Linked DNA regions of Nothobranchius furzeri. The protein of the gene in region 6 binds, or shares a complex with, the protein of the main gene of each other region. Links are inferred from orthologs where the notes say so. Each region holds a gene or a part of one and is shown on either strand. Other genes may lie near its edges.

Region 1 (4,124 bases), on a different chromosome or scaffold from region 6:
CCCCGAGTACATGACATGACTGCAGAGGCTGCGGCCCTGCACCTATGACAGCTAGCGTCTTCATACCAGAGCCACTACACACTTCCTCTGCTGGAGGCAAGGCAAACAAATCATTTCTAAAATTAATTATTTCACAAAATGAATCAATCTGATTTCTGCAACATTAAAATATTGATTTGCTTTACCACCAAATGTAGATCACTCTGGGGTGATTTTTTTATTATAGATGAACATTTTCTTGTTAAAGTGGCATTAAAGTTTTATTAAACCTTCTACAAACTATTTATTATCATTAAAGAACCGACATCATGGCTGCCATCTACCCTGCTGTTTAAACTCACATTATTTTACACAATTTGCTACCATTTCAGTTTATTTACACATGTCGCTGAAGAGGAGGTGTACAACGATTCTCTTACGCTAGAAACATTAAAAACATTTTTATCTTCTTTTAGGATAATATCAGCACTTAGCTACATCTCTCTAATCCACACTCCAGAAGGATTATTACAATGGAGGCGGGAGGGAATGGATTAAAACAAGAGCTTGTGCATCCATCATATTCTTGAGCATTTGCTTGTGTGAGCTCTTGGTGGCATGCACTCATTTCTTACTTGTTTACATTTAACAAGACTGACCTAAATCCTTGTTTTAAAGATCTTACGGCCAACCTGTTTTATGCAGACTCTAAATTACAATTGCACTTTCAATAACATCTACTCTGATTTTGAATAATAAATAACATCCATGTGATTTTAGCCTATTTTGAACAAACAAAAAGTAAATCTGATTCTGCAACTAAACGTAGTAGTGGAAAGGCTACTAGCACCACCTGGTGGTGATAGACGTAAACAGCTGATTGGGAAAACTAAAAACTACACGAACACATCACAGCCTATGTTTTCATGTTGTTTGTGTGTTTTGTACTTACACTCCTCTAAACCCAGCTGGTAAGCCAGGTTCTGAAGTCCTTTGACCTTCTCCATCAGGTTAGCTGTTGTCAGACTACCCAGCTCTGCAGAGTGATTACAAGGCAAAGATTTTAAGCTCCAGTTTGATCAACTCAGTTTCTCCTTGACAAGATTATATATTTATGGAAACACTAACCAGTACAACAGTTTTAACATGAAACGCTGCAGGCACAGAGAAAATCTTTCTAATTAAACATATATTAAAAAAAAAAACAATTGTACCAACCTTTTAACATCTCGATGTCCTCGCTTTCCAATTCAGCCATCCACTTAGGGGGTGAGCTTGTAATGGGCTGTAATAAAAATAAATGATATTATACGGCAATGCCAAATCTAAATGATTATTTAATGTATTAATCTCAGTTAATGACAAAAAACGTATCTTACGTTTTTATAGGATGCAGCAAATTCTGCAACTCCGGGTACTGTGTGAGAAATGACAGGACAGATAAGGTTAAACTGTGGGACCATAAAGAAGCACAGAGGAGATGAAAACTTACACTGCTCAGGCCACAGGTCTGGTGACGCTCTGTCCAGCTTTTCTAAACTAAGCAAAGAGCTTTCAAAATCATCACCTGGCAAAGAAAAGGAAGTAAAATTATGTTCAGAATTCAGGCAGAAATTTCAGAGCTTTAGAACAAAATGTGATCTTCTTGATGTAAATACAAGTAAAATGTGTGACTTATGGACCATTCCCATCTGTACCGGGTCGGCCCGGGCCGGGTAGCCCCAGTCGGCCCCATCCTGGCCCGGTTGATTCCACACATCCTTGTCTTACGCCCATGTGGGCTGATTCTACCCACCAATCAGAGGCTTGCTCTAATGGAAGGTGTGAATTTGCTGTCAGCAGTGGGTGTGTTGGCCCTGGTCGGCCTGAAGCAGACCCCCTCGAGAAGAGGGCTGAGAATGAGCCTTGGTTGGTCCGGAAAAATACCAGGCCACCCAGATATGTAAACAACCAACGCTACCCGGCCCGGACCGACCCGGTACAGATGGGAATGGCCCATATGACTACAGCCAAACAAATGTCAAAATGTAACCACAACAGTTAATACAATATGTTGGCTGTATTAAAACAAAATATGTGTACAAGATAAATACTGATTAATCAGCTGTTCTTAAAAAAATTACTAATATTTGGGAGGTTTAGTTTATTTATCATACCTTTCATTTTTAAATGTTGCTTGATTCAAGTCCCTATACAACCATTTCTGCTAGGCTGTGACAACAACTGTGTGCTGATTATTCAAAAACTATTCTTAAAACCAATATTTAGTGTAACAATTTGTGTTAGCATTATGCTTCCTAATACATGACCCTACATAGTGTGTGTGTGTGTACATATATATATATATATATATATATATATATATATATATATATATATATATATATATATATATATATATATATATATATATAACCTTTCAAAAACCTTTCAAAATATGTTGATGTGAAACAAATAATGCCTCAAAATGTTGGAAAAATGTCGTAAATATTAATTATTAGGCCAGTATTTAACAAAGAGGCAACTCAAAAGCTAGTAGTATTTAAAATATCAGGAGTTACGGAAGGTCTGCAGCCAGCTGTCTACTGTTCTTCCTTGAACGTTGGTGGACTAACAACACCGGGGCTAGTGGAGCCTTCAGTCAAACAAAACCACCTCCGAGAAGTCGGACTACAACGCTGATATGTGTAGTTCTGAATTCTGGGTGTTCAGCTACATCATCAATACATTCGTGGAATAATTTGTGTGATTTAAAGTGTTAAATTTTACATTTTTTAACAGCGTATCTGTGTAAGGAATTAAAATTTACCTCCATTCGGAGACGCCATCTTCACAATAATCACGTGACCCGTGACAACGAATAGGAGTCAATGTTGACAAAGCCTTGTAAATTCACAAACACACCACAAGAGGTCACTCTTACACACCAAAGCCGTGTTCCTGGGGGTAAAATGAATAAACTAATAATTTTATAATAAGTGTCAGGGGCGATCCTAGCATCAGAGGTTTAGGGGTGCTAAGCACACAGCGAGTTCCATGGCCAGGCAAGATACATTTCAACATTTTGTACAATTTTACACAATTTCATTCCAACATTTGTGAAAGAAAAGAAAATCGGTGTTTTTACAAATAGATCTGTGGTTTTACATATCACAATCTATGTTGAACAGATTTTGCTATCTGTGTACAACAATTTGGTCCAAGTTCGAAGAGTCTGGGTCAGTGGTTCCCAACCCTTTTTCTTTGATGACCCAATACAGGATCTATTTTATGGTTTTTGGTGCAATATTTTCTAACAGTGAGTGAAAGTCCGTTTTATTTATTTCTTTTTTTTGTTTGTTTGTTTTATTCATTTATTTAGAAGTTCGATTCTGAACATTCTAATGTTAACAAGAGTTTTATTTGCTGCATTTTAAAGGGTGTACTTGCATTATTATGATATATTAAAATTATATAAGTGATTATTTTGGTCTCGATAATGTCAACAATAATATTGTTTATTGGCAATAATTTGTTGGACAATATATTGTCCTGCAAAATCTGTTATCGTCCCAGGCCTAGTTCACTTGTACAAACTACTTAAAAATTAAAAATCAGCAAATCTATTTTATTTTTCTGTGTACAACAAAATTTTAGCTATTAGCTATAGCTGGGGCTATTAGCAGTTAAAACAGAGATGGATTTTTTTTAAGCTTTATTAAAATAAGAGGCTAAATATTCTCTTCAGAATGTCTAAAAGGAACGTGCAGTACCAGATTTCAGTTGGAAATTAGAGTGTCGTTCTATTTATTGCCAGCGGAGCTAGCAACTATATGTGATTGAATTTTTGAAAAATCTAAAGAGGCTAAATATTCCCTTCTAAATGGATTTAAAAATCGGATGTGCAGTATCAAATTTCAGACACTAGAGGGCAGCAAATACTCCCTTCTTGTCTGCATGCAGTTGGAAACCTGTGTTGTTCTGTTATTTGCCAGCAGAGGGCGCACATTCTCCATTCTTTCAACGAAACAAGTGTTTTAAAAAATAGAGCAAGAGTTTCTACTAAGTCCGTCTTGTAAAAATCTATTTAGACAAAGAACAAAAAGAACCCATATTCAATTTGGTTACTTGTTTCTTAACTTATAAACTTTCTAAATAAATTATAT
Region 2 (3,633 bases), on a different chromosome or scaffold from region 6:
TGCTTTAGTGACTGGCTTGGTGACAGCTGATTGGATGGCGAGAGTGCTGGTCAGGTTCTGGGCAGGGAGTGGCTGAAGTGTGGCCCCGCCCACTTGCACTGGGATGAAAGTGAATCCTCCATTCTCATTGGGTATCCCTACAAAGAGGTCAGAGGTCAGCACATAGTTACAGGTCACCTGTTGTAGTTAACTCATTGTTTTGAGTCCCTTACCTTGCACAGGTATAGTCAGTGTCTGCCCGTTGTTGGCCGTGACGGTGGCGGTCGCCACTACAGTCTGCCCCGCCGGAATGGTGGCAATGAGGCTCGGCTTTGTGACGCTGCTCGGTGGTGTTCTTGTGGCGCTGGTCTCACCCTCCGTCGGGTCAACAAACAGACGGCGACGAAATCCACCTGTGGGGGGGGAGCCATACCGGTCCTGCAGGGTGGTGGGGGAGGGGGACACGCCTTCAGAAGACGGAGGGGCAAATTATTTCTACACAGAAACACAAAAGAGTAAGACAAGATGGCTGACAAATCACCTGTGATGGTGCTGTTGGTGCTGAGGTCTGGTCCCTGTGAGGCTGGAGTGAGGGCAATGCCAGCCCCACCGCTGTCTTCATTCTGTTCCAGGTACTGAGGAGGCATCACCTGAAACGCAGACGCACACACACGTGCACACACACACACACACACACACACACACACACACACACACACACACACACACACACACACACTGATTGACCCACAGAACTTTCAGAACCACTGAATTTTATTTGTGAGCAGCCTAAAGCCTCCTCATATCTCTGAGACTTTGGTAAACAAAAGGTTCTGAATGTTTCCAACATCATCTGTTCAGTAAGAAGATGACATCATCTCTACAGGTGAAGTAGAACCAGGTGCTGTTTGTGTTCTCATGGACCTCCTGGCAGGTCGGGACTTGGGCTGACTGGAGACTGTGCCACAGCGGGGAGTTGCTGGTCCAAGCCAGGCTCTCCAGAACCTGCTCCTCCACCTGGTTCAGGTGCTTCACGACCTCCCGAAACAGACCCTGTTCCGACCGGACCAGCACCTCAATCACCTGCACACACACACACACACACACACACACACACACACACACACACACACACACACACACACACACACACACACACACACACACACACACACACACACACACACACACACACACACACAGTAAACGTGAGTTTTTATGAGTATTAGTTCGTTCATCAGATGATGAAATAGTTGTTATTATTATTATTATTATTATTATTACAGTTGTTATTACAATTATTGTTGTTTATATTATTGTTGTCTTGAGCAGTGTCTGGCAGATGCTGCTGACTAGTGCCGATAGCTGAGATGAAGCTCAGCATGCTGCTTCCTGATTGGCTAATCTGGACTCAGTCTGAGAACGGGTCGGGCCAGCTGGTACCTTATAGAAGTGGTAAGCAGGAAGCTGGAAGGTGTGGATGACTCTGGGGAAGTCTCCTGGAGGTCTGTAGGAGAAGGTAACGATCTCCAGGCAGCAGGCCAGCAGGGAGCGGTGGAACACGTCCTGCTCCAGAATACACTGCAGAACCAACAGGGGGTATGGTTCAGTGCAGTCACAGCTGGTAACCATCACACACAGAACCTCCCCGGTCCAGACCAGACGCCCTGGGTCAGGAGTCCAGACCTTGAGACCAGAACTGTACTCACAGACAGGTCAGCGTCTCCCAGGATCATCTTTTCTCTCTCAACGATGGACTCCAGGATCCTGTAGTACAGCGCCTCGCTCAGGTGGAAGAACTTGACGGCCATGTCTGCTGGACAACACATGGTCAGGTGGGACAGCAGATCAGCTGATCACTGGGCTCAGGTCCTCACCTTTTTCCATCCCCTTGCTGTCATCAGTGCTGTCCTCATGATGCTGTGTGAAGATGTCTAACATGTCCTTCAGGCGCTGACTGATGACATCACTGGGGTCTCTGGAACAGCCCCTGGAACCGAAACAGCCGCACTCCAGACTTCCAGTCAATGTAAATTGTTAAAGGTCAGAGGTCAGGCTTAGTCTATCAGAACTGGACCTCACCAGAACCTTAAACCGGCTTCACCAAACCAAACCTGGAAAAGCAGCAAGTTCACCCTAAGGTCAAAGGTCAACACTCAGTTTCAGGGAGGCTAAAGGTCACAGCAGCTCAGATTGGTAGCATTTTACCTGAACAAACCACGGAGACACCAAGGTGGATGTGTTTACCCACAATGCACTGCAGCAGAGACAGCTGTTCCCAGCTGTCAGCACGGTCAGTGGTGGAGCTGACCTCTGACCTTTAGGCTTTACAGAATGGATGCCTAACCTCTGCACCACTGTAACACCTGTGCACATCCTCAGAAAAAGTCCCACAAGATAAAACGTGGCTTACTCATCAGGCACACTCCCTCACCGGTGCCGAGCTGGCCGTAATCCACAAGAATCCACAAGTTAGAACCTAAACGGACCTGATATCTGACCGAACTGTGCTCTAAGTCTAGACTCTGGACCTCTCTCCCCCTGAGCCTGAGATCAGTGGACTCAATGGTCTCCTTTAAAAAGCAGCTGAAGACTCACTTGTTCAAGCTGGCTTTTGTATGACCTTCTTCACCACTCTCTCTTTATTCTGCTCTCCCCACCTATTCCACCTTCCTCAGGATCCACTGATTTCCCTCTTTCCTATTCACTCTCTCTCTTTCTTAACATTTTTTTTAATTACAATTGCCTATTTTTGCTCATTTTAATATATTTTTAAACATTTTCTAAATGCTTTTTTATATTTTTACATATTTTGTTTTTGTGAAGCGCCTCGTGATTTTTATCTTGAGAGGCGCTATAGAAATATTTTCTTCTTCTTCTTCTTCTTCTTCTTCTTCTAAGTGCAGCCCTGAGACTAAAACCTGAAGCTAACAGGTTAGCTAAAGGCTGATTCAGCACGCCCATGACTGGTTGGACGGACGGATTTCCCCGCATGCCGCGCTCTTTCTGACATGTTTAAAATGTAACTAACTTATCGGCTGTATCTGACACTGTCAACCACGGCTTCCTTTGGTCCGCACTCTCTAGCATGGGCATCGCAGGGAAAGCACACTCCTGGCTTGAATCGTACCTGAAAGGACGATCTTTCAGTGCATCTTGGCTCGGACAATTTCTGCTGTTCACCATCTTGCCACAGGAGTCCCCCAGGGCTCTGTACTAGGACCTCTTCTCTTTGCCATATACACCACCTCACTAGGTGAGATCATTCAATCACATGGCTTCTCCTACCACTGCTATGCTGATGACACCCAGCTCTACCGGCCATTCCCGCTGGACGACCACAGAGTCTCTGAACGAATCTCAGACTCTGACATATCAAGATGGGTGAAATCCCACCATCTCCAACTCAACCTCTCTTACACTGAATTACTTGTCATGCCAGCGAAACCATCCATACGGCACAATATCTCCAAAGTGATTCCCTTTAGACATGGTGGGGTGGGAGTAATGAGGTTAGCGGATCAGAACCTGACACCTGAGGGTTCTCTTAGTCCGGTCAGAACCCATACCTGAGGATCTGTGTCAACTTGGAGCTTGGCCCATATCTGGTTCCTGACAGCAGAGTGTGAAGGCGCCCAACACTCTTCATAGCGG
Region 3 (4,181 bases), on a different chromosome or scaffold from region 6:
TAAGAGGGTGGGGTGTATTCGTTTAGTCATGTGACCGTGATTGTAATCATCTCTTCAGCTTTAATGTGTTCATTCTATGCAAAACCTGCTGATTTTAGAAGCACTGATGTCAGTATTTGGATATCGGCCCAAAAATGTCATATCGGTGCATTTATTTCTGTCCTGCTGCCATTAAGCCTCTTTTAGGCGAAGAACCGAAGAAGTTCAGTTGCCTTCATCAGACTACCATGACCCGGATGACGGAGACGTGTAACCAGCGTCGGTGCCGTCAGCATGGAGCTTTTCCTCACCTGTGACGGAGAAAAGGGCAGGATTTTGACAGGGGTGCTCTTTGGAGTCATGGACCGATTGACGTCTGGAGACAGGGCGATGCGTCTCCGGCTGCGGCGGGACAGAATGGAGGGAGGGGTGATTCCTCCGGGGGAGATGGGGATGAGTTCTCCCTTGCTGCACTTGCTCAGCTCCTGCAAGGCGCTGCCCTCCAGACGGAACTGGTGGCGCTCGGGGCTGGGGCTGTCCTCGGGCAAGTCGAAGGCTGCCAGGTTGCACCAGCCGTCCAAGTCCTCCACCAACAGGAGATATCGTTTTATTTACAAGTCTGGTATCCGCTAGATTTTACAAAGAGTCGACTAAATAGAATAGAATAGAATAGAATAGAATAATCCTTTAAAACAACACGGACAGAAAAAGGCACCACCTGGATTTAACTGCTGCACCGGTGATCATCTTTCTGCTGCAACTGGTTATTTAACTAAACCGGAGCAACGAGTTGCTTCTCATTTCTTATAATCAAATACGATTAAACTTTAGTTAGTTTCAGAGATGCGTTTGTTATTTTTCTGGTGAATTATGGGTATTTACCCCGTCTACCATGTCCAGCACTTCCTTCAGCACAGGGCCTGTAGGGTAGAGGAAACCAGAGCTGTCCACCACCCAGTTGGAACTGTTCGTCTCTCCTGTGGAGTCCACATCGGTCTTGGGGCTTGACACGTCCTTTAGAGAGGAGACAGCCCTGGACGACTCTGCTTCGTGGGAATTCTTAGCAGGAGCCGATGGTTCCTGTGACTTCTGTAAAAACATAAGGACTGATGGCTGATGCAACATTTAAGCTCATAGTTTTTAATAGATGCGATGATTTCTTACTAAAAGTCGGACTTTTGAATCCGTTTCTTTGTCCGAACCATCCTGAGAGCATCCAGCGACCTGTTGGTTCACCACAGACAAGATGTTCGAATCAGAAACACGTGAGACTGCTGCTGATGTAGGAGGCTTGGTGGAGGGAGACGACCCACCAGCACGTCTTTACTAACGCGCGCCAGCAGCTCCTCCAGCTCGTTTGCTCTGAAAACCTCGCTGGCGTAGAAGCCCATCTCCAGCTTTCGTTTTATAGTGGAGTTCCAGTGATTCTTCACAGCATTATCCGTCCTGTTAAACGATGTACAAGACCTTTCAGCAGAAGATTCAGCTTCAACCACAAATCAGTGCATCCTCCCACTTGTTTAGAAAACAGGAAGCAACATTTTCCGACCTTCCAGGAAGCAGCTTGGCGATCTCGGCCCAGCGGTTTCCAAGCAGACAGTGGGCCTTGTAGATGATCAGGTCCTCCTCAGCAGTCCACGATGACTTCTTCACGTTGGGGTTGAGGTGGTTGTGCCAGCGCTCCCTACACTGCTTTCCCAGTCTGCCCTTCAGGTGCTTGGCTACCATCGCCCACTGTTTGTTACCGTAGAGATTAACAAGCTCTATGACCTGGAAGAAAAACAAACAATTCAGTTGCATCTTTTTGACAATCTCAAGAAATATTCTACACTTGATCCACAACACGAAACGCAGCCCACCTTCTCATCCTCCTCTTTGGTCCAAGGACCTTTGACCAGTTCTGGATCCAAGACCTTCAACCAGCGGTGCTGACACTGGTGCTCGGTGTGAGTCTGAAGAATGCAAAGAGAGGCACGAACGAGCTAAAGGAGTGACTCGAAGACGGTAACACTAAAGACCAGAACAGCGGGACTCACTGGGATGCAGCTGGCAACACGTTTCCAATCATTCTGACCCAGTTTTAGAACCAGCACTTTAAGCTTCTCATCCTGTAAAGACAACCCAGTGTGTTCAGGTCTGCTGACCCACAACGACGTGATCTGGGACAAGTCAGCACACTCACCTCCTCCTGAGTCCACTTCACCTTCACCTTCCCTCCATCCCTGGGCTCGGCCACATCAGAATCAGTGTCCTGATGCATGGCCTCGTCTGCATCCTCGCTGAGAAACACATGTGCACAGCTGATTAATGAAGACACCAGGAGTTAGCCAGTGCCCGCCCTAAGGCCATACAGGCGGGGGGAGGCTAAACGAGCGGACTTGCGCGTTTTCATGGTTATATTATTTATAATTCACTAGCTACAACCAACAGTACTGCTGAGGGCAGGACAAGGATTCATTTGCTCAGACTTGTTGTTCGTGATTACAGCCCGGAAAAGGGCGGCAGTCGTGAGTCACAATTCCAACAATAAAACTCCTCCTAACGTGTTTCCCTTCCGCTAACTGCAGCTGCAAATGCATCTAAGCTAGGCAGTAACGTCCAGACATCAGTAGATTAACAAGTTCTGCTACTGTCAAAAACAACATCCGGCAACAACGATCGATCTCTTACCCGCGCGACCACGAAGACATTTCTCTGCTTCACTTGTTTACTTTGTCACACGGCGATATTCCCTCCTTCCGCCGCGCGCGCACAGAGGTGTTTACGTTGGAGTGGACCGTTGTCCCGGTGTGGTTCTGAGGGGCCGGCGCTGGAGGTTCTGTGTACCGACAGCAGCAGCCGCTGAGCGCCCATTCCGACCGCGCTTCTTATTTCTATCTCGCGCCCTTCACTCTCGTTCGACCAGAGCAGTGACGTAGATGCGCACCAGATCTGCGCGGTCGAACCAGTCAGGCGCAGGAAGATGTCAAACTTCCCACCAGACTTTCAAAATAAAAGAACGAGGAGCGTAGCAAGCTTTTGTTTATTCTAGAAATTTCACAATTTCTCTCGAAACTTCTTAACTCAAAAACAAGAAACACGTTTCTTCAATTGTCCTTTCTTCTGATTAATCCTAGTATATTTATTTATTTTATCCACTTAATGTAATTGGCTTGTAATCAATATATTTAGCCAAATATGTGATTTTCCTCTGGAGGTCAAATTAAAAGGCACTCCCTCTGTAAGTGTAAAAACAATATTGTGGTAAAATATAAACACTAAACTATTCCACTATGAAATCTAACATATGCTATACCTCTATTTCTTTCTCTAACTTGCCAGATAACCCTTTTATCAATGTGTCATGTTTAATTAAATGAGTCCTAAATACTCGCCATAACTTTATTTAAATATATTTACTTTGTGGTGAATTTGAGTAAAAGATCAGGGACAATAAGCTATGGAACCAATCGACAGAGGTGTCATTAGTATCAAATTGTTATAGATGTATATAAACTTGCATAAAACTGGACAGAAACCAAACAAAGACCTTTATTATGAAACTTTGAAAATAAATATAATTAATCACCAAGATATGAGACACAAAGAGCCTCTTGTGGCCCCAAGTTGCAGATTACTATGATCATGTGCTGTAAATTTGTCTTGTTTTCTTTTCAATAAAGATTTAAAAGCCATTCTAATCATTTTATAAATGAAACAGTATTTTTTAAAGCAGAACTGCAAACACACATCGGCCCAAACAGAAAACGTTTCCTCTGATCCCGACTGATGAGCAGCCTCCAGCTGGGCCAATTAACAAGCAGCTTCAACCATTTAAAGCCACCTGCTGCTGGCCAGGTGTTTGAAGACCAATGGACACCATGGACAAAGCTTTTGTTTTTAAAGGTAAGCATGCTGGTGATTTTGTTGCTACCTTTGATGAGAAGCTCACATTCTTAACTACTTATCTTTCTAGATCTGAAAAGCTTTGAGTGCTCATCTCCATCAGAGCTGGACAGGAAGTTCTTTGGAGAACAGGGTTTGCTGTCTGCTTTGTCTTTGGAGTACCTGTCCCTCTCCAGAGCATCAAATGAAGCTGTAGCGAACAGATCTGAGGGCAGAGTATCTATCCTGGCTTCCCTCTGTCTGTCAACGGATCTCCTTTCTCCTTGTCGGGGGTTTTCGTTTCTGGGCTCCGGCTCCAACACACAAGAGGCTGATGG
Region 4 (4,234 bases), on a different chromosome or scaffold from region 6:
GCTAAAAAAAATAGACGAGAAAGCAAAATTAAAACATCAAACTCTCACTGAAACTTTGAAATATGACTAGCAGTGAAACATTAAGATGTCTGGCTTTAAATCATGTGAAAAGTCACAACTTTTTACAGACTGAGTGATAATCTGTGTGACTTTTAAGTGCAAAATTGGTCGAATACCCCTTTAGGTGACCAGGTGCTCACAGTCCACATTATTACAAAACTCTCTCTTGAAAAAGTTTAAACATCCGCATGCACGCACACACAGCAGTGAAAGATATGGGCTGTTGTTGGAGTCGTCTGTGACATTCTTGATGCTTTGTTGAACCCAGACTCTTTGCTGGTCCAGCTCGTGTTCCCGGACAGCCAAGTCGTCTAGCTCAGCCTTTAGATCAATCAGCTTATCTGCAATCTCCCTGGTGTTGCAGCCAGGGCCGACACCCCTGAAACACATTGGTAAGCACGTGGTCATTCACATTCAACAGGCAAAGAAAACTCGCCGTCAACCTTTTTCCCAGCATAAACGATGAACTTGTAGCCAAAACAAGCTGCAGATAGATTCATCTCACGTCTAACTCAGGTAGAAGACATGCTAATCAGCCATGCTCATAGTCATTTCCCTTACGGCATTGTTTTATGTATGTAGGACATTAAAGAGCAAGTCACCCCCAAATCAACTTATTTTCTGATAAACTACATAAATGCGTGTCTAATCGTGCTGCAGACACGTGTAGTCAATAGTTTTGCACTTTAGTGCATTTTAGTTCAAATTTAAATTTTCTGCCTAAAACTGTCAGTGTTGTGCCGTTGTCAGGTAAAAACTCTGCACTGTATTTGAATTTAAATCTGTCATCGCTATTGGCTAAGAGGTACCCTAGAATGTTAGCTGGTTCCATATGATGTCACAATGTCGTTGTGATCCTGTGTGTGTTTGTTAGCGGCTCCACCCTCTCGGTCTGCTAGGCAACAGCATTTGTTGCATTTTTCAAACAGGAAGTGGGAGGGGAGTAAGAATCTGGTAGGGGGTGACTTGCTCTTTAAGTGTTAAGGACTGCTGCAAAACCTCAAAGTCATAAATATCCTCAAAGTATTGGCATATGATATGTTAGTATGATTACATATAACAAACATCACTACAGTTTAAAAATTGAAAGGTGAGGCTCAGACAATCGTGTTCAGAAAACTGCAGCCGATTCAGACGTAATCCCTGTTACATAAGACAATGATGAAAACATGAAGGCTTGATGTTTCATGAAAACATGAAACATGAAGGCTAAGAACAATTTATTACAGACTGCAGTTATAAATTCTAGTCTTTTCATGAAGCCATACATACAAATAAAACTTACTTCCATTGAATACTGTTCTTAGATTTCTTCTCTATAAGACCAATTCCTTCCAGGACATTAGTAATGTCGTATATACGTCGTTTTTGCCGCACTGCCAAGGTATCTGCTGCCTGAAAGAAAAAGGACAAATACAATGAATAAAATATGAATAACAAACACACATTTGGCTCTTTTGCACAGAAAATGTCATGGCTGAGTGTAAAATACACAAAAAAGATATATTTTACAAACCATCTGGGTGTGACATCTACACTTCCTGCCCAGCCAAGTCTTTGGGTCTTAGGAGATAAAAACAATTTGCAAGGAGCTGATAAGTCTAAGCTTTTTCAAATAGCTGGACTTAAGTCAGTTGGACTGAACGAAAGAGAAAGAAAAACATCTGAGCGTCTGGTATTTTATGATCTGCAGAGTGCAATGCAACCATAAGTGCCCGCAGCCAGGAAGCTAGTTTATGAAATTATGAAGTCAAGTTAATCTAAACACCACCTGGTTTACTAGACTTTGGCTCAGAGGTGGCACTGTGTTTATAAATGTTTCTGTTTTGGAGCATTACTAATCTGACAAGTCTGAGGTATCTGAATTCAGATGTTTGTCAGGACATGTGTATTAGTAGTACTGCATCAAATAAGTAGGTTAGTTCTCAGCATCTTGACATTACTGAGGAGGCATATCCACTACTTCTACGTGTTTAAACACAAAGATTTGCACGTTTTTGGAATCGGACTTGATAAAAACCAATAAGGAGCTATGCTGCGTTTGTGTACCTAATGGAAGTGGGCAGGTCTCATTAAAAAAACAACACATTTAAGATATTTCCTAAAACTAACGCAGTGGGGGTGCTTATCGTTCAGAGAGAAAAGGCCATACCCATCAGAAAAAAGAAACTGCTCAAGTGTGAAGATGCCACACTATGTTACTAGCAACAAAAGCTGACCCACTTTTGAGAGTTTGAATCTGCAGGGGGCAGAGCGAGTCTGAAAAGTTGGCCGGTGTTGTTTTCAAAGTTAATTTCACGTCTGACTGAACGGTTCGTGTCTATGGGACGCTAACACACCGAGTCACCAAAATAAACAAAGTTAGAGTATCACAAATGTTCAAATACTGTAAACCCCGAAGCTAACAGGTTACATCCATTCAAATTAGCATGACAGAGCTAAGCTAAGCTAATATGCTAGCGAAAGTAACGACAGCGGGTAGGCTCTGTATGACATGTGCTAGCTGACAACAAAGACTCCGGGTTGAATGCTCACAGCTTTCAAATCCAGCACTCCGTCTTTCGCCTCCTGTAGCAAGGTCACGAATTTGGTCGTGAGCAGTCCCAGGCTCTTTTCATGCCTGCTTGGGGTCTGTGGCTGCAGCGAATCTCCCACCGCTCCCGGGTCGCCTCGGTTACTAGCCGACTCCAGCTCCATCACTCGGGACAAGCTCCGTACTTCCCCCCGCTTCCCCGACCAGTTCCAACCCGCGAGCACAGGAGAGCTCCACCGCCGGAGTCGAGTACACAGCAGCCCGAGATTGCGTGGTGGTGTTTTTTTAATCCGTGTGGATTAGATTAGAAAATAGTTGCCCAAATGTATCTGAACACGATGAGTGCTGTAATTCAATGAGCAGGCAGTCGGTGGTAGAGAGCCGTTGGCCACGCGAGGTATGACGGGACGGTTCAATCGTACAAGGGAGTGTCTGAGAATACTCACGTTGTTTAGAAGACGTGTACAAAAATAAAATAGTGGCTGCTTAATTTAAAACAAAAGTTCATTAAAATTAGCTGGTAAATATTTTATATTACAGATGAGTTGTATCAGAATATGTTTGCATTGTCTTTACGTATTGGTTGCATCCATTAAAATTATGAATTATACGTATTTATTTAATACTACAATTTATGTGCTTACCCTTATCTACCCAAACACGCACACGAACAGACGCGCACTTTTACGTGCGCAAAAAACCCCACTAAAGTCTGCACGTTCTTAGTAGTTCATTTGCATGCAAATTAATTGATTATGTTTCGTTATTATTTACTGTAATTTTGTTTGTTAAATTTTTACTTTATTCTTCGTGTCAGTTGGACCAAGAGATGAGCAAGACTCAAGTCAAGGCCCGGTCATTTGTTTTTCATCACATCTACGAATTATTTACACAAAACCCAGCTTTAAACGTCCAGGAAGGCATATTTTTGTTATGGAGATGTGACAAGCTGTCATAAATGAAAAGAAAAATATCATACACGGGTGTTGCCATATTACTTAAACAATGCATTGGTACATCTGCTAGTTACAAAAGAATGAATCATATTCCATTAATTATTTTCTTATCCTATAATAACCAAGTTATTTTGCAGTATGGTTTTGACACACACTAGTTGTCAACCTTCCGTACTTTAGCTTTGTGTACAGTGTATAATTATTGTCTTTCCAGAACTGCGCTGCTCTGGGCGGCTGCATGTTGGAGTTGACTATGTGTAAGTTTTGCCTTTTCTTGGGCATTTTTCTTCTAGTTTCTCAAAAAAAACTGTATTTTTTGGACACTTTACTTTTCTGTTTCTGGTGCTGTGAAGCTTGGAGGATTTTTACTGCTATGTTTTAGCTTTTTTCACTTTTTGAGCATTTGTTATGATGCGTAACTATGGCAACAAATGGTTTACAATCAGGAGCAGCTGATTAACATTGGAAAGGCTGAAATATTACCTCAACTGAAGCCACAAATCCCAAATGAGCTAAACGCAAGAAGCGTGGGTGCAGAGCGGGAGCAAAACGGAGACAGAGAAAGAGGAAATTCAAACCATCTCTTCCATCGATCATAATGGGCGATGTGAGATCACTGGCCAACAAGATGGAGGAACTCCAAGCCCTTTCAAGGACTCAGCCAGAGTGTCGGCAGTTTCGAAAC
Region 5 (4,205 bases), on a different chromosome or scaffold from region 6:
TGTGAATGGAGAGCTTTTGGGGGACGGCAGGTTGTGTCAATTACGCTTTTGATAAAAAATAAAAAGCAATTATCTGACATCTTCAATTCATCGATGAAAACAAATCAATATGAAATAATCGTGACGCATCGGGATATCGAATCGAATTGAATCGAGAGACAAGTGAAGATTCACACCTCTACTCTACAGGAACTCGGCTCTCACTGTTCACTTTGAAAACGTGTTCAAAAGATTCGATTTGTTCATGAACGTCACATTACTACTGTGCGTTCATCTTTTTACAGCTTAATCTAATGCGTGAAACGTGTCCTCAGCCTTCATTAGTTTAAACAGAAGCGGTTCATCACTAAATCAAACAAATCAGCTGTGTTCAACATGCTGGAAGCAGACTGCAGCACTGGCATGTCAGCTCAACTTTACAAGGTCCAAAAGGGACCGGAAACTGAAGTTGCAAGTGTGATTTTCTGGCCATAGAGGCGGTGGGGTCTGAGTGACATTTTATTAACCCTGTAAAAGGTCATTTTAGCACATATCGGCTCAAGAAAATGATTTAAAAATATGAAGAAGTTGTAAAATATGCCTTTAAACAAACTATTTGGAATGAATGAACCAATGTTCCCAATAAAATCCACTAAAATGTTGCTTTAGAGGGCAGTATGTCAATATAATACTGCAGAACAGGTCAACCAAGTTCATCTCCTCTTCCTTGAATGCACCAACACCCCAAACTGTTTTGGTGCAACTACAAACAAATTTTATGATCATAAACGTCCCCAAAAGCAACCATTAAGTCATGATTAAATGTCACAAGTCAGCATTTTACACACACTTTAGAAAAGAAAAGCAGAAAGACCATCCTATGTATAACAACCTTATTGAGTGGAGTTCTATGGTCCTTACACCTTCGCCAAATAAACGTTACAGCAGTTTCAAAAGCTTAAGATTTTCCTGCATCTTACGTGCATGAACAGCACACACATGCACAGAACAACTCTTTCACTTCCTGGTTTTACAAAAAAAAAAGATACTCTTGAGTAATAATTTGTACTATCAAGCACTTTTAATGATTTTGAGACCCCGTGAAAACTTTGGCGTTTGTACCTGTGGTGTAGTGGAGACCCTTTGGCTCCTCCGAGGGGACCTGGAAGAGGGACGCTGCTGCGGCGATTCATCTTCCTCCCGAAACAAACGGCTTCTCTTAGAGCTCCTTGTAGGCTGAAGACACAAAAATTAAGTTTTCTCAGAAGAATCGATATTTTTTTTATAGAACTGTTTCTCGACAAATCTCAATTATGCCTCCAAAGTGTCTTCAAGAAAGTCCATTATTAATATTTATTCAAACTTTTTATGACAAATATACAAATCTTATGTAATTGTAGCTTTCCAAACAATAATAAATGCGTTTCTAGTTCATCTTAATTAGTCATGATAAAAGTGATCATCGTTTTACCACGTCCATTGTGACAGATGAATGGCGTCCTCTGGTGTTGTGAGCTCTAGTGAAACTGTTCTTCTCATTCAGAGTGTTAGACAAGCTGCCCTCTGTAAAAAGATGGATTTGTACAATAAATTGTGAACACAATCCACATAAATTTAATATGCTTTCTGACCAAGTTTGTGCTGTTTTTATTACTAGAAAGAAAGCACGAACTGCTGACTTTATTTTGTAAAAACATGCAGGCAGTGCAGGTCATAAGCTTGGTATTATGAGGGTAATACACAGCTTCATGTGTGTGAGGGGCTTAGGAATACTAACCACTTTTATCCAGGAGTTTAATACATATATGGCTCTGACCTAATCAACGTTCATGTTTTTAATGATAAAAACATAGTTTACGAAAAATCTAAATCCAGATCATTTTAACAGTACAAAGAGCAAATTAAAAATAAACAGACTAAGTACCTTTTAAACTGACCAGGGCCTCTGCAGAGGAGCCTAAGGAAGATGGGAAATTGTGCAACATCAGTATCAATTAGCATTATTAACAGCTAAAACAAATGTCATTTCATCAACAAATGTAGGAAATCAGATATCTCCATGTTTGAGTAAAATGCTAATATTACTTATGCTATCAAAGAACCAAAATGACGTTCGGATCGGTCAGATAGGTTGAGTTAGAGGCCTTTCCTCCCAAGTTTCAGCTGTCAAACACGGGTCGAAACATCAGCTTGACAGGCAACACCAGACATGGTGAAGCGAGCTGATGTTACCACGAACTGAAGGTCATATCTAATTACATTAAATTTATTTAGATCCGTTATTTCAGTGTAAAAAGCCAAACCAATAAATGATAACAACAATCGCGTAACCATGTAACAAGCGCTAACAAACCTTATGGTAAGAAAATACATTTCCAGGGAGAAAGATGAGGAAAACTAAGCCTGATTACTCAAACACAGAGTCATTAGCTGCGGTAGTCCTATTGTTATTGTAGCTCTATTTATAAGGTTAGCAGCGGTTAGCTCACAGCTAAGCTAACGGGATTCGTTTACCCAGTTGAGCTAAAGTAACTTCTTCAACTGCTGTATTAGCTATAGTTAGCTCGTGGTGCTAGCAAGCAGTAGACCGGTTTCTACATCCAAACGCGGCTTATAAAGTCAACCCAAAACCTACAATATTTGCCGTATGAACGGTGCTATCGGGTTTCCGCCTGCTGTTTATCTTTTTTATAATAGATTCGCTGCTTGTTCACACTGTAAAACTGACAGTATGGTGTGTTGTTACCCACTCTCGTCTAACAGCTGGTCCATCTCCGCCATCTTGAATTAGCCGCGCCGCTTTTCAAAGACTTTGTCAAAATGCATTCTGGGTTAGAATCCGTCTGGAGGGCGATTTGAGACAAAAAATAAACAAACTGATACAACCACCGGCGCTAAGTCACTTTGTGTCACTCTGACTCATAAACTGTAAAGTATATTTTATATAAGTACAATATTTTTGTTGAAACTTGGTACAGGAATGCAAGAAAAAAGATGGGTGTGGATAACAAACCTTGACTCCACTTAGACGTACTGGAAATGTCCTTTGTCGGATTTAAGAATTCAGACACAAAGTTAACACGTTATTTAATGTTTTACGTTACCTCTACAATAACTAAATTAGCCTATGAGCTGTACTTTAAATATTAAATGCTTTAAGTCTATCAGGTAGTCTCGTGATCACGTTGTTGCTAAACTCATTTTTATCTCGTTAGTATATTATATGCATTTTTTTATTTCACGGTTTTTACATCTTAAACCAAATCAAATTCAAGCACTTTCAAGGTGAAATCAAAGGTTTTCCACCATAAATATTAATTCAACTGAACATGTATGCTTAAAACGCGGCTGTAACCAACTTTATTTAGCTAAAAACCAAAAATGTTAAAGCAGTTGAAACACTTTTAAGAACACGAAGCATTAAGGACATGACCTTTGACCTCCCATAAGATCATTTACTTTCAACATGTTTACAAATGGTAAATAAATGCATTATAGGCTGATTTCCATTCAGAGTAAAACAAAAACATAAAGACAAAAGTCTTTACATGTCCCGTGCTTTATTGTGATTTATGGAACAAAAATTAACACAATTTTCATACAAAAAGTTGTGGAAGACGGCTTGAGACAGAAACAACTAAACAAATATGTACATGTCAGACCTTATACAGTATCATCAAGGCTACTTCAGAAAACAGCCATTGAAATAATTCTGGTCTCAACTCAAAACCCCTTGCAGACACTCTGTAACACTTTAGACGTAAGCTTATCAACAGATTTTCATGAACTGATCAAATTAAAAGAATGAAATCGTTAACCATCATCGTCTGAGGCTTCCTGTATTTTCTACAACCGTCCTGTTGTGATTTCAGTTTTACAAAGTTAACGTGATCCTAATGAAGGCTGCCTGCTACAGAACCATGAAATAGCTGTAAAGTGGTATAATATTCCAGGCATTTGGATGCAGAAGTGGTGTTTTTCTTCAAACGTTGCCTTTTTTCTACCACAGGGATGTCTGGTAATTAAACTTGATCTTCAAGAGATACTTCATGTTTACCTGTGCCACATCATAAACAATGTACCTGGAGGAGCAGTGGTTAAGGAAAACAGAAAACAGGATTGAACGCAAAGGAATAAAAATAAAGTGCATGTGTGACGAGTGAAATAAAGCTACAATAAAGACAACAACAATGTTTGTTATCAATCTATGAGTGATTTATAAATAC
Region 6 (4,367 bases):
TTTATTACGCATGTTCTGTGGGGCTGATACATGTTCGAAAATAAAAATGACAATTTAAAAACTTTAGTTAATGTCTGTTTGAACTGAGAATCAAAGGTTGAATTAATGCCTACTAGCTGGAAATGTGATCAAACTAGCACCACTTAACAGAATTAAAAGCTAATAATCAGTGTTGTTGGCATATATTTCCCTATAGGTCAAAACTATCATTTGTATGGAGTAATTTTACAGAACACATAAAACTAAATTATAGGCATCTAGTTGTTTTTTTTTTTTGTGCAGTGAAGACAAATCAATAAACGTTACCTGTACAGTCTTCAGCTGCTGGGCCTGTAACGTGGTCACTTGGTTTCCAGAACTCGCCATCACTGGTTTCAGCTCCGTCCTTTCACCAATAGTTACCACTTTAAATTGTGGCGTTGGTGACTTGGTGTTCCCTGCAGTCTGTGATACTCCAGGTTTGCTGCCTGTGTGGGGCAACTGAAAGAATATAGGTTGCCCCGACTTTCCTATTGCTGTCACCAAAAGTTTTTGTCCTTCCTGTTTAATGATTTGGGGTGGCGTCCCTGCAGATTTCACAGCCTCTGTGGCTTGAGATGAGGCCACCTTATTAAGAATGATCTGGTGGTTGGCTGCAGAGAATGCAAACTGAGTTGCATGCTTCTGTAAGCCGCCTGTGGAAACAGTAGTCCCTGTGACGCTGTCTGTCGTTTTGGTTGTGGCCGTGGAAGTAGACAAAGTTGATTTAAGGGAAAGGAGGGTCGAAGAAGTGGAAACTGAGACAGACGGCTCATTTCCAGAACTGATGGTGAGCATGGAGTCTGCAGCTTTGGAGGAAGTCAGAGTCTGGGTGTGCTCTATTGAAGGGACTTTGGAGCAGATGCTCAAATTTTCTGATTGCATGGGTGCATCTGTCTCCATGGGAACAGATGTGTCCTGGCTTGCCTGGGACTGGACTGCAGTGCCATCAGACTCGGAGTGTGGGACGTCCTCTATGGCCTCGGTATCCATGATTTCATCAGGAAGGAGGCTGTTGAGCTCTGGCGACACCACATCCATGCTTGTTGTCCTGTCTCAGCACTCTGAAAAACCTAAAATAACAAAGCAGCTTATTTTAGTTTAGGTCAAAAATGTTAAAAACCCAAAGATCTGGGGTTGCATTAGGCATTTATTTGCCTAAACTCACCAAAATATTGCATTTATAGTTAGCAGTGAGTAAACGGAGGTAGAATTGGGGCAATAAACCGATTGTCATTTGAAATATTTCGTGATTCAAATGCCTATATAAACATTTTTTCATGATTAACACAAATGCAGACTAACATCTTGCTAGTGAAACAGCAGGAAACAGAAACGCTAGCGACTTAGCCGGTCTGATAACTTGACCTGTATGGTAGTTTACAGTAATTACGTGGGACTTTATCAGCAATAAAACGCAGCAGGAGCTCCATTTGTCTTCAGGTGGTTCTGACAGAAGCTGAGAGCTGATGGTGGTTTAGCTAGGCCGCAGCGTTTCATCTCAGGCGTATCTTTGTCCTGCTGCTCTCTGCTCAACATTAATCCACCGAAACGCACATAATGTGAACCCCTTTCTGCCCCAAACCACACACCGGCAGCTGCCCTGGATGCTTTCACGTCCCTACGGGGGAGCGAACAAACGGAGGCTGGGTATGACTGCTCCCCGTTTGCGTTAAAACCTCCCCAGAAGTGATGTAAATTGGGGTGTAAAGAGTGGGGGGAAACGTCAAGCTCTCTGCTGGCTGCGTTACTATTTCAGGCCGGGGTTGGATTTCGAAAGATCCGCCATTTTTACCTCGTCATCAACTCGGTTAGCTTTCCGGTTAGCACACTGAAGAAGGGAATGCGTTTAATATTCTTTACATCCCACTGAGAGTATTAACAGAGAGAACTCATCGTGAATAACGCGACTTCAACAGGAATGAGGAGGAGAATCGCGATGAACCGTGTGTCACGAACAAGTCCGAAACTCTAGCAGCGCACTGACAATGTAAACAATGTTAGCTTTCAATAATGCCTCCTCCTGTCACCTGAGATATTTAATCTGAACGTAACGTTGGGCCAACGATGCAGTTATTGCAACTGCCAACAGTTTGCTCTAACGGTCTCTACTCCTGCGGTGGGCTTGTTCTAAATCAGTATTAAATGGGACATTTATTAAATCATTCGTGACATTACTTTTTACTTTACGTCAGCGGTGTCCCCGAATAAACGAGAAAATGACACAAAAACACTAACTTACGCTTTACAGCTCCGTAAACTTGAAACAATTCACAGAAACTGGGTCTGATGACTCCAAATATAAAGAAAGAAAAATAAATTCGCGCAGAAGTCGGTTGAGATTCCGTCAAAACATGTCCCTGTTCAGCTAAAAGCGGTTACTTTCCATTTACGGTGCATTAAGTTAACCCAGAATCTGTGCACCAAATAACACTCAAAGTTATTTTAATTTTATACGTGTACAAACACAAAGAATATACAAATATATAATTTTAATTAATGAGAAATACTCGGCTACTTTCTGGCTACATAATCAGCTGCAGCCTCACCAACCCAACCCAGCGGGCAGGACAACTGTACCAGCAAAGTTAACGAGCCTGCTAACCCAAGCTAGCTAGCACAACATTATATCTCAACATGAAACACATTCTTAACCTTGCAGCTTCCTACGAGATAAAGTGTGGTGATAATTAGAATAAGCCAATACGCAATCGTTCTTACCCAAGATTTTAACGCTGGGCAGGGCTTCCAGATAAAACAAGAAAAGGAAAAAGCGATTGTTCAAAATACCGCGCCGAGCGCCATTCCTCCCTGACATTTCACAGGCCGGCCACGCCCTCCACGTAGAACGTCACTGTGACGCTACGCTTAAAGGTACAGCACTTTTAAGGCAAGCCGTTGTAACATATAGCCAAATCACTGTGTTCATGTGATCAATAGTCTGGTGTTAACTTATTGTTTAATGTGTATTTATTATCTTCATCTTTGTTTATTCTTTTGAGTTTTTTGTACATGTTTGCAATTTCGCAATTTCTTTATCCTATACCGTTACGCATGTATTTGACTGTTTCATTGGCATCTTTCAATTAAGTAAAAAATAAAATAATGAAAAAGAGAAGGGGTATTCACGCCCTCCAGTGGCAACAATTTAACTACTAGGAGGAGATGAGAAAGAGAAAAGGGAAATACGTTTATAAAGTTATTTAGTAGCAACCCGTCTTATAAATTATTTCAAAAGAAAACTACGAGATTTGGGGCGTTATTCCTGTGGTTATTCCATGACCATCCCATAGAACCATCCCAGATTCCAAGAAAATACCGGGAAGCAATTGCGCATGCGCGACTCACTTCAGGTGACGCACAATAATGGCGTCCGAGGTGAGACAGGAGCTTACTCAGCTGATGAATTCAAGTGGATCTCACAAAGACCTTGCTGCCAAGTATGTAGCGCTCAATCGAGAACCACTCATTCGTTTTTAATAAAAATGTTTTTTTTTTACGTTACCGCAACAGCGAGTCTCTGCGAGCTTACGTGTAGCTTATGTGTAGGCTAGGCTAAGCTACAGTTAGCTGCTTATTAGCTAGCTCTCCCTGTGAGCCTTAACGTTACAGTATTTCTAAAGACGAATGGTGAAATAATACTGGTTTATTTAGAATCTAGCTTCCTAGCTGTCCCTAGCGTATCCTTGATTTGGCTAAACAAATGCGTGTTTTTCCTTGTTTTCTATTGAAACTCCGTGCATCCTGTGTGTTTTCTGCAATTAACACCCATAATAAAATTTAAGAATCTAAACAGTTTAAGTCACTGTCAGATTAGTTTGGATATTATGTAAATAACTTCCATATGATACTAAAATTGTAAACAATGTCCTCCAATTTACTTATCCTGTGACCTTAAAAAAGAAAATTCGTCTCAAACATTTGATTTTAGATGTTGGAATGAAATTGTACACACGTATTTCATGAGTGATTTTCATGATCGGGTTAGGATACATAGTTGTTTAGTAGTTTTTGTTAATTATTGATAATTAGTAAAATAATATTGATCAAATGAGGAGATGTTGGGGTTTTCATACATCTGCAAAATTCCATAAATGCTCTTTAGATGTATAACAATGTAGAGCTGCAACATTTCTTCTAAGCTTCTTGCTAAATGTTTTAATTCAATTGCATCTTAATATCTCTGGAGTTAATACCAGAGGATGGGAAGTAACGGAAGTACTAATACTTAAGTAGTTTTTTTAGGTATCTGTACTTGAGTATTTTTTTTCTGACAACTTTTTACTCCCTACATTTGAGCCTAAATATCTGTACTTTCTACTCCTTACATTTTCAAAATGGTCTCGTTA
Region 7 (4,218 bases), on a different chromosome or scaffold from region 6:
AGAGAGTTGCAGTAATCAAGCCTAGAAATTACAAATGCATGCAGTACCTACTCCAGGTGGGCTCTTGACAGCATAGGCTTGATTTTAGCAAGACGTCTCAGGTGAAAGAAACTGGACCGGATCACAGAGTTGATGTGTGCATCAAATTTAAGTCCAGCATCAATTTTCACCCCCAAACTGGTGACAACTGGTTTTGAGTAGGGAGAAAGAGGGCCAAGATCAACATGACGATCCACATTCCTGCTGTTGGGGTGAAAAACAATGAGCTCTGTCTTTCCCTCATTCAGATGCAGAACGTTGGCCATTAGCCAAGACTCCACCTCGTTAATGCAGGACACAAAGGACTGGATATAGTGACCTTTCTCCTGACACAATGGAGCATCAATCTGGCAATCGTCAGCATAGAGATGGAATGATAGGCCATGTTTACGAAAGATTGACCCCAGAGGAAGCAGATAAATGGCAAACAAAAGAGGACCAAGGATCGATCCCTGCGGGACCCCCCAGCGGAGCCCCTCCCAAGAAGAAAAAACATCACCCAGTTTAACGCAGAATGTTCTGTTGTGGAGATCCAAACCAATCCAGAGCAGACCCTTTGATCCCAACCCATCGTTCCAAGCGATCTAGTAGAATCGCGTGGTCAACTGTGTCGAAGGCTGCCGTCAGGTCTAACAACAGAAGCACCACAGATGTACCCTGATCTAGTGATAGATAGATGTCATTTAGGACCCTCAGTAGAGCCGACTCTGTGCTATGGCCAGACCTGAACCCTGATTGGAAAACCTCAAACAGATCAGCGTCAGCTAAATGTGAGACCAGCTGCTGATAAACGACTTTCTCAAGCAGTTTTGATGTGAAAGGCAGGGTAGAGATAGGCCTGTAATTTTCTATCACATAGACATCAGCATAAGGTTTCTTCAGGGTCGGCCGAATAACTGCTGCTTTCAAAGCAGCTGGGACCACACCTGTGCAGAGGCTCCCATTGATAATCTGACCAAGTGATGGGCCAAGACACGGAAAGGCAGCCTTCCAATTGTATACATTGTATGCAAATGTATTTGTTATTTTTTTAAATCAAATTGTTCTCTTAAGTGTTGGTGCTGCTGTAACAAGTGAATTTCCCTACTGTGGGATTGTTCTATTCTATTCTATTCCATTCTATTCTATTCTATTCTATTCTATTCAGATATATCAGCTGAAATTTGGCATCATTCAGTGTGGTGTGTGGTATTTTTTTCAATCGAATTAAAGAGGAAATAAAAGTGACAGGCCTAAAAACTATTCCTGGTAGATATAATAGCGACTAATGAAAAATCCTCCTCCTACTCCTGCGCAACAGATGGCGGTAAATGCATCCCTGCAGCTGCCTGCTCTCCACCAATCCCAGGAGAAGTAGGTTGTGGGCACGACTCACGTCACTGCTATGGTTACGTCACACCAGTGTTGTCCAATCAGACGCCGCTGTAGCGAGACGCCGCCAAGATCAGATTGTGAGAGGCACTGCTGAAAGCGACAGGCTAGCAGAGAGCCGTGGAAAGGCTAGCTGACGGTGTGCTAACGTGAAGTGCTCTGGTAAGATGCATCCACTGTAGGGTGGCTTCCCACCCGGCGCAGACCAGAGCTCATATACAAGTGTTTAAACGGCCTTTATGTCTTGGTCGACATGAAAAAGTGTTGATATCACACGAAGCTAACAATGGTAAACTTTCTCGATGACAGCTGGTAGTTAGCTTGCTGGCTAGCTAGTGGGCTAACAAAGCGCTGGAGGTTGCGATTTCTCATTGATATCGAGTTAGCTCGTAGCTTTGATAACCAGTTGCTAACTAGCGAAGTGTTGATCATCGATCTACTTAACGATCTTGTCATGGTTTCTATTACCACGGTTATAACTTACTAAACAGAATATGCAACAGGACTTGTTTAAATAGTCCGCAGACATGAAGTTTGAAATATGTAACTCATCTGAATGTAGAAAGAGCTTTCACTTTCTTTTACTGTAACGAATTAAAATAAACAAATTTTATTTGTTTAAGCCACATATTCATTTAAATAAAAATTTAAAGCGTGATTAATTGGCTTGAAACATTTCAATGAAGTTTTTAACTTTTTCAAAAGTGTACTTTTTGCACAAAAAGCTAAAATATCGATTAATTAGATTTGTTTTGTTCTGATTTACTAGGTTGTTGTGACCAAGAGGCCCATGAATGAGATCAAAACTACTGAGAACGTTTAAGAGAATGTGATCAGTTGTAGCAGATAATTGCGGAATCCCAAAATATAAAATTACTTTACATTTGTATAACTTGTTTATTTCCGATTAACATTATATATTAAATTTGCTATTTCAACTGATTCCTTTTGCAGGCCCAGGTCCCTGAATTAATGGTGTCAATATAGTTTTTTATTCACTTCTTTGACTTAATTACTTTAATATGAACTCCTTTTAGAAGAAATGTAGATCAAATCTATGGGCTTGATCCACACATTATGTTGTATGTTTATTAAATTGAAATGTAGTACCTGTTAACATACTGTTGTTTATTTACCATAATATGCAGTTTTAAAATGTTAGGTTTAATTTAACTTGAAAACTGGTTAGTGCATTATATTCATGACAAAAATGTTGTACAGCTCATTTTGCTTGCTTTTGTGATCAGTTTCTCTGATGAGATGAATGATGTTTAATGGTTAGTCAGCTGCCAGACTCGACCAACAGGCAAATCCTGGTATCAGTTTTTGACATAGCGACAAAAAACTGACCTGAGGAAAAACAACTCTTTAATCATATGCTTAAGTTCTTTAAAGGAATAACTTTGATTTATGAATAAAATAGTTTTAAAAGTACATTAGGATTGCTGAGTTTGTTTCCTGTTTGGATGGGATTTAGACCTCCTCTTCCTCCATTCTCTAATGCCAACAACAACAGCCGTCGAAGAGACAAGAGAGTGCACTCGTAAGTGCACGGATTCGCAATTTAAACCCCTCTAATCGTGCAAAACGCGCAGTGCTTTTTTCCAATATCAGTTCTTACTTAAAGAAGGCTATAATCTGCAGCTCGGACCAGAAATCTCTGAATTTTCTGCCAATCGTGTGAAAACGTGCATAAGCTAACTAGCAAGCTAAGGAGCAGCAGGCTGTTAGCAGTAACGGTTAGCCGGCTGTAGTCAACAAAAGATTGTTCATTATTACTGACATGTGGTGTGAAACCTGCTTCTGTGGTGGACTGATTTACTATCTGTAACTATATTTTAATCTCCGTGGAGAAAAATCAACAGTTTCGTCAAAGTTGGCACGTTTTCGTGACCTGTAGCAGAAGTTGGACGATGCCTCTCCTCCGGACGTGATCGGTACCTGAAGTAGGCCTTGTGCACACATAGCTTGGTAAAAGTTGTGGGCATCAAGTGAGGGTTGACTGTGCTTTTTTGTGTTTACATCTAAAGGCTAATGACGCAGCGGTTTGTACAATTAGCTGTAATTTCCGCCAGGTTTGTTTTGCTAACTGAGGAAAAAGTGGAGTAAACATGATGATGGAATTAGCTTAGTGTAGTGTGCTGTGCTCATAGCCAACCATTGAAATGGGCCTGGGTTCATAAATGAGTGCAAAAGCTCATTCAAATCCATCTGTGCCGTGGGGATTTATAGGAAAATGTTATAAATAAGTGAAGCTTGAAACTTTTGCTCACAGCTTTCATTTCTTCTGCAGGGGTCTGAACACTTGAGTGACAGAAGGAACAATTTTTTAATCTGAACTAAACTCCTTCAGGTCCTTTGGGATCATGGCTAAAGATGTGAGTAATTTCCCTCAATATTTTCATCCATATGCACATTATATCTTGTAGCCAGATGAGATGGTTCTTGTTGTTTTAGCATACCTATTATTCTAAACCATCATTAATGTTTGACAATAAACCCAAATTGCAAAATGATCCAATTACCCATTTGGTGTAATTTAAGGAGATATGCACACTTAAGCATCCATTATTGCATCACTACTATCTTATATTATTTTTAATATTCTATATTTGCAGCATAATGAGTTTTGTCTTTTACAGGCTGGTTTGATTGAAACAAATGGAGAGCTGAAGGTTTTCATCGATCAGAATCTGAGCCCTAGCAAAGGTATAACTGAACCATCTTTTGACTTTGTTTTTGTTATTTTCTCCCAGTTTACACAATCTATTTGCACTGACCACCAATCCTGCAAAAATATCGGTAGAA

The links.
Region 1: lin54 (region 6) and lin52 share a complex: the UniProt entries of both Homo sapiens proteins name them as parts of the DREAM complex. The link is inferred for Nothobranchius furzeri from reciprocal best matches to the Homo sapiens genes LIN54 and LIN52.
Region 2: lin54 (region 6) and rbl2 share a complex: the UniProt entries of both Homo sapiens proteins name them as parts of the DREAM complex. The link is inferred for Nothobranchius furzeri from reciprocal best matches to the Homo sapiens genes LIN54 and RBL2.
Region 3: lin54 (region 6) and mybl2b share a complex: the UniProt entries of both Homo sapiens proteins name them as parts of the DREAM complex. The link is inferred for Nothobranchius furzeri from reciprocal best matches to the Homo sapiens genes LIN54 and MYBL2.
Region 4: lin54 (region 6) and e2f4 share a complex: the UniProt entries of both Homo sapiens proteins name them as parts of the DREAM complex. The link is inferred for Nothobranchius furzeri from reciprocal best matches to the Homo sapiens genes LIN54 and E2F4.
Region 5: lin54 (region 6) and lin9 share a complex: the UniProt entries of both Homo sapiens proteins name them as parts of the DREAM complex. The link is inferred for Nothobranchius furzeri from reciprocal best matches to the Homo sapiens genes LIN54 and LIN9.
Region 7: lin54 (region 6) and tfdp1a share a complex: the UniProt entries of both Homo sapiens proteins name them as parts of the DREAM complex. The link is inferred for Nothobranchius furzeri from reciprocal best matches to the Homo sapiens genes LIN54 and TFDP1.

The regions. Positions count from the first base shown.
Region 1 is NC_091758.1:32,967,719-32,971,842, reverse strand, and holds the start of lin52 (protein lin-52 homolog), read right to left. Parts: upstream 2,891-4,124; 5' UTR 2,808-2,890; coding exon 2,789-2,807; intron 1,547-2,788; coding exon 1,472-1,546; intron 1,397-1,471; coding exon 1,359-1,396; intron 1,265-1,358; coding exon 1,198-1,264; intron 1,016-1,197; coding exon 932-1,015; intron 1-931.
Region 2 is NC_091744.1:80,493,704-80,497,336, reverse strand, and holds part of rbl2 (retinoblastoma-like protein 2), read right to left. Parts: coding exon 3,549-3,633; intron 1,970-3,548; coding exon 1,857-1,969; intron 1,796-1,856; coding exon 1,689-1,795; intron 1,561-1,688; coding exon 1,423-1,560; intron 1,063-1,422; coding exon 904-1,062; intron 630-903; coding exon 521-629; intron 447-520; coding exon 213-446; intron 138-212; coding exon 1-137. UniProt on the Homo sapiens protein: Key regulator of entry into cell division. Directly involved in heterochromatin formation by maintaining overall chromatin structure and, in particular, that of constitutive heterochromatin by stabilizing histone methylation.
Region 3 is NC_091743.1:41,536,644-41,540,824, reverse strand, and holds the start of mybl2b (v-myb avian myeloblastosis viral oncogene homolog-like 2b), read right to left. Parts: upstream 2,854-4,181; 5' UTR 2,670-2,853; coding exon 2,650-2,669; intron 2,259-2,649; coding exon 2,162-2,258; intron 2,088-2,161; coding exon 2,016-2,087; intron 1,932-2,015; coding exon 1,839-1,931; intron 1,750-1,838; coding exon 1,529-1,749; intron 1,426-1,528; coding exon 1,293-1,425; intron 1,204-1,292; coding exon 1,144-1,203; intron 1,069-1,143; coding exon 862-1,068; intron 564-861; coding exon 291-563; intron 1-290. Other genes in the region: uncharacterized protein, read left to right, coding at 3,831-3,864, 3,935-4,181. UniProt on the Homo sapiens protein: Transcription factor involved in the regulation of cell survival, proliferation, and differentiation. Transactivates the expression of the CLU gene.
Region 4 is NC_091744.1:86,783,034-86,787,267, forward strand, and holds the start of e2f4 (transcription factor E2F4), read right to left. Parts: upstream 2,892-4,234; 5' UTR 2,758-2,891; coding exon 2,596-2,757; intron 1,456-2,595; coding exon 1,346-1,455; intron 440-1,345; coding exon 278-439; intron 1-277. UniProt on the Homo sapiens protein: Transcription activator that binds DNA cooperatively with DP proteins through the E2 recognition site, 5'-TTTC[CG]CGC-3' found in the promoter region of a number of genes whose products are involved in cell cycle regulation or in DNA replication.
Region 5 is NC_091742.1:4,991,282-4,995,486, reverse strand, and holds the start of lin9 (protein lin-9 homolog), read right to left. Parts: upstream 2,827-4,205; 5' UTR 2,761-2,826; coding exon 2,730-2,760; exon of another isoform or gene 2,726-2,729; intron 2,398-2,725; exon of another isoform or gene 2,333-2,397; intron 1,937-2,332; coding exon 1,904-1,936; intron 1,543-1,903; coding exon 1,451-1,542; intron 1,216-1,450; coding exon 1,102-1,215; intron 1-1,101. Other genes in the region: parp1 (poly [ADP-ribose] polymerase 1), read right to left, coding at 3,980-4,061. UniProt on the Homo sapiens protein: Acts as a tumor suppressor. Inhibits DNA synthesis. Its ability to inhibit oncogenic transformation is mediated through its association with RB1. Plays a role in the expression of genes required for the G1/S transition.
Region 6 is NC_091746.1:62,986,606-62,990,972, forward strand, and holds the start of lin54 (protein lin-54 homolog), read right to left. Parts: upstream 2,865-4,367; 5' UTR 2,740-2,864; intron 2,317-2,739; exon of another isoform or gene 2,261-2,316; intron 1,092-2,260; 5' UTR 1,060-1,091; coding exon 307-1,059; intron 1-306. Other genes in the region: cops4 (COP9 signalosome complex subunit 4), read left to right, coding at 3,385-3,458. UniProt on the Homo sapiens protein: Component of the DREAM complex, a multiprotein complex that can both act as a transcription activator or repressor depending on the context. In G0 phase, the complex binds to more than 800 promoters and is required for repression of E2F target genes.
Region 7 is NC_091754.1:25,779,494-25,783,711, forward strand, and holds the start of tfdp1a (transcription factor Dp-1), read left to right. Parts: upstream 1-1,344; 5' UTR 1,345-1,572; intron 1,573-2,828; exon of another isoform or gene 2,829-2,953; intron 2,954-3,234; exon of another isoform or gene 3,235-3,381; intron 3,382-3,703; 5' UTR 3,704-3,776; coding exon 3,777-3,788; intron 3,789-4,052; coding exon 4,053-4,119; intron 4,120-4,218. UniProt on the Homo sapiens protein: Can stimulate E2F-dependent transcription.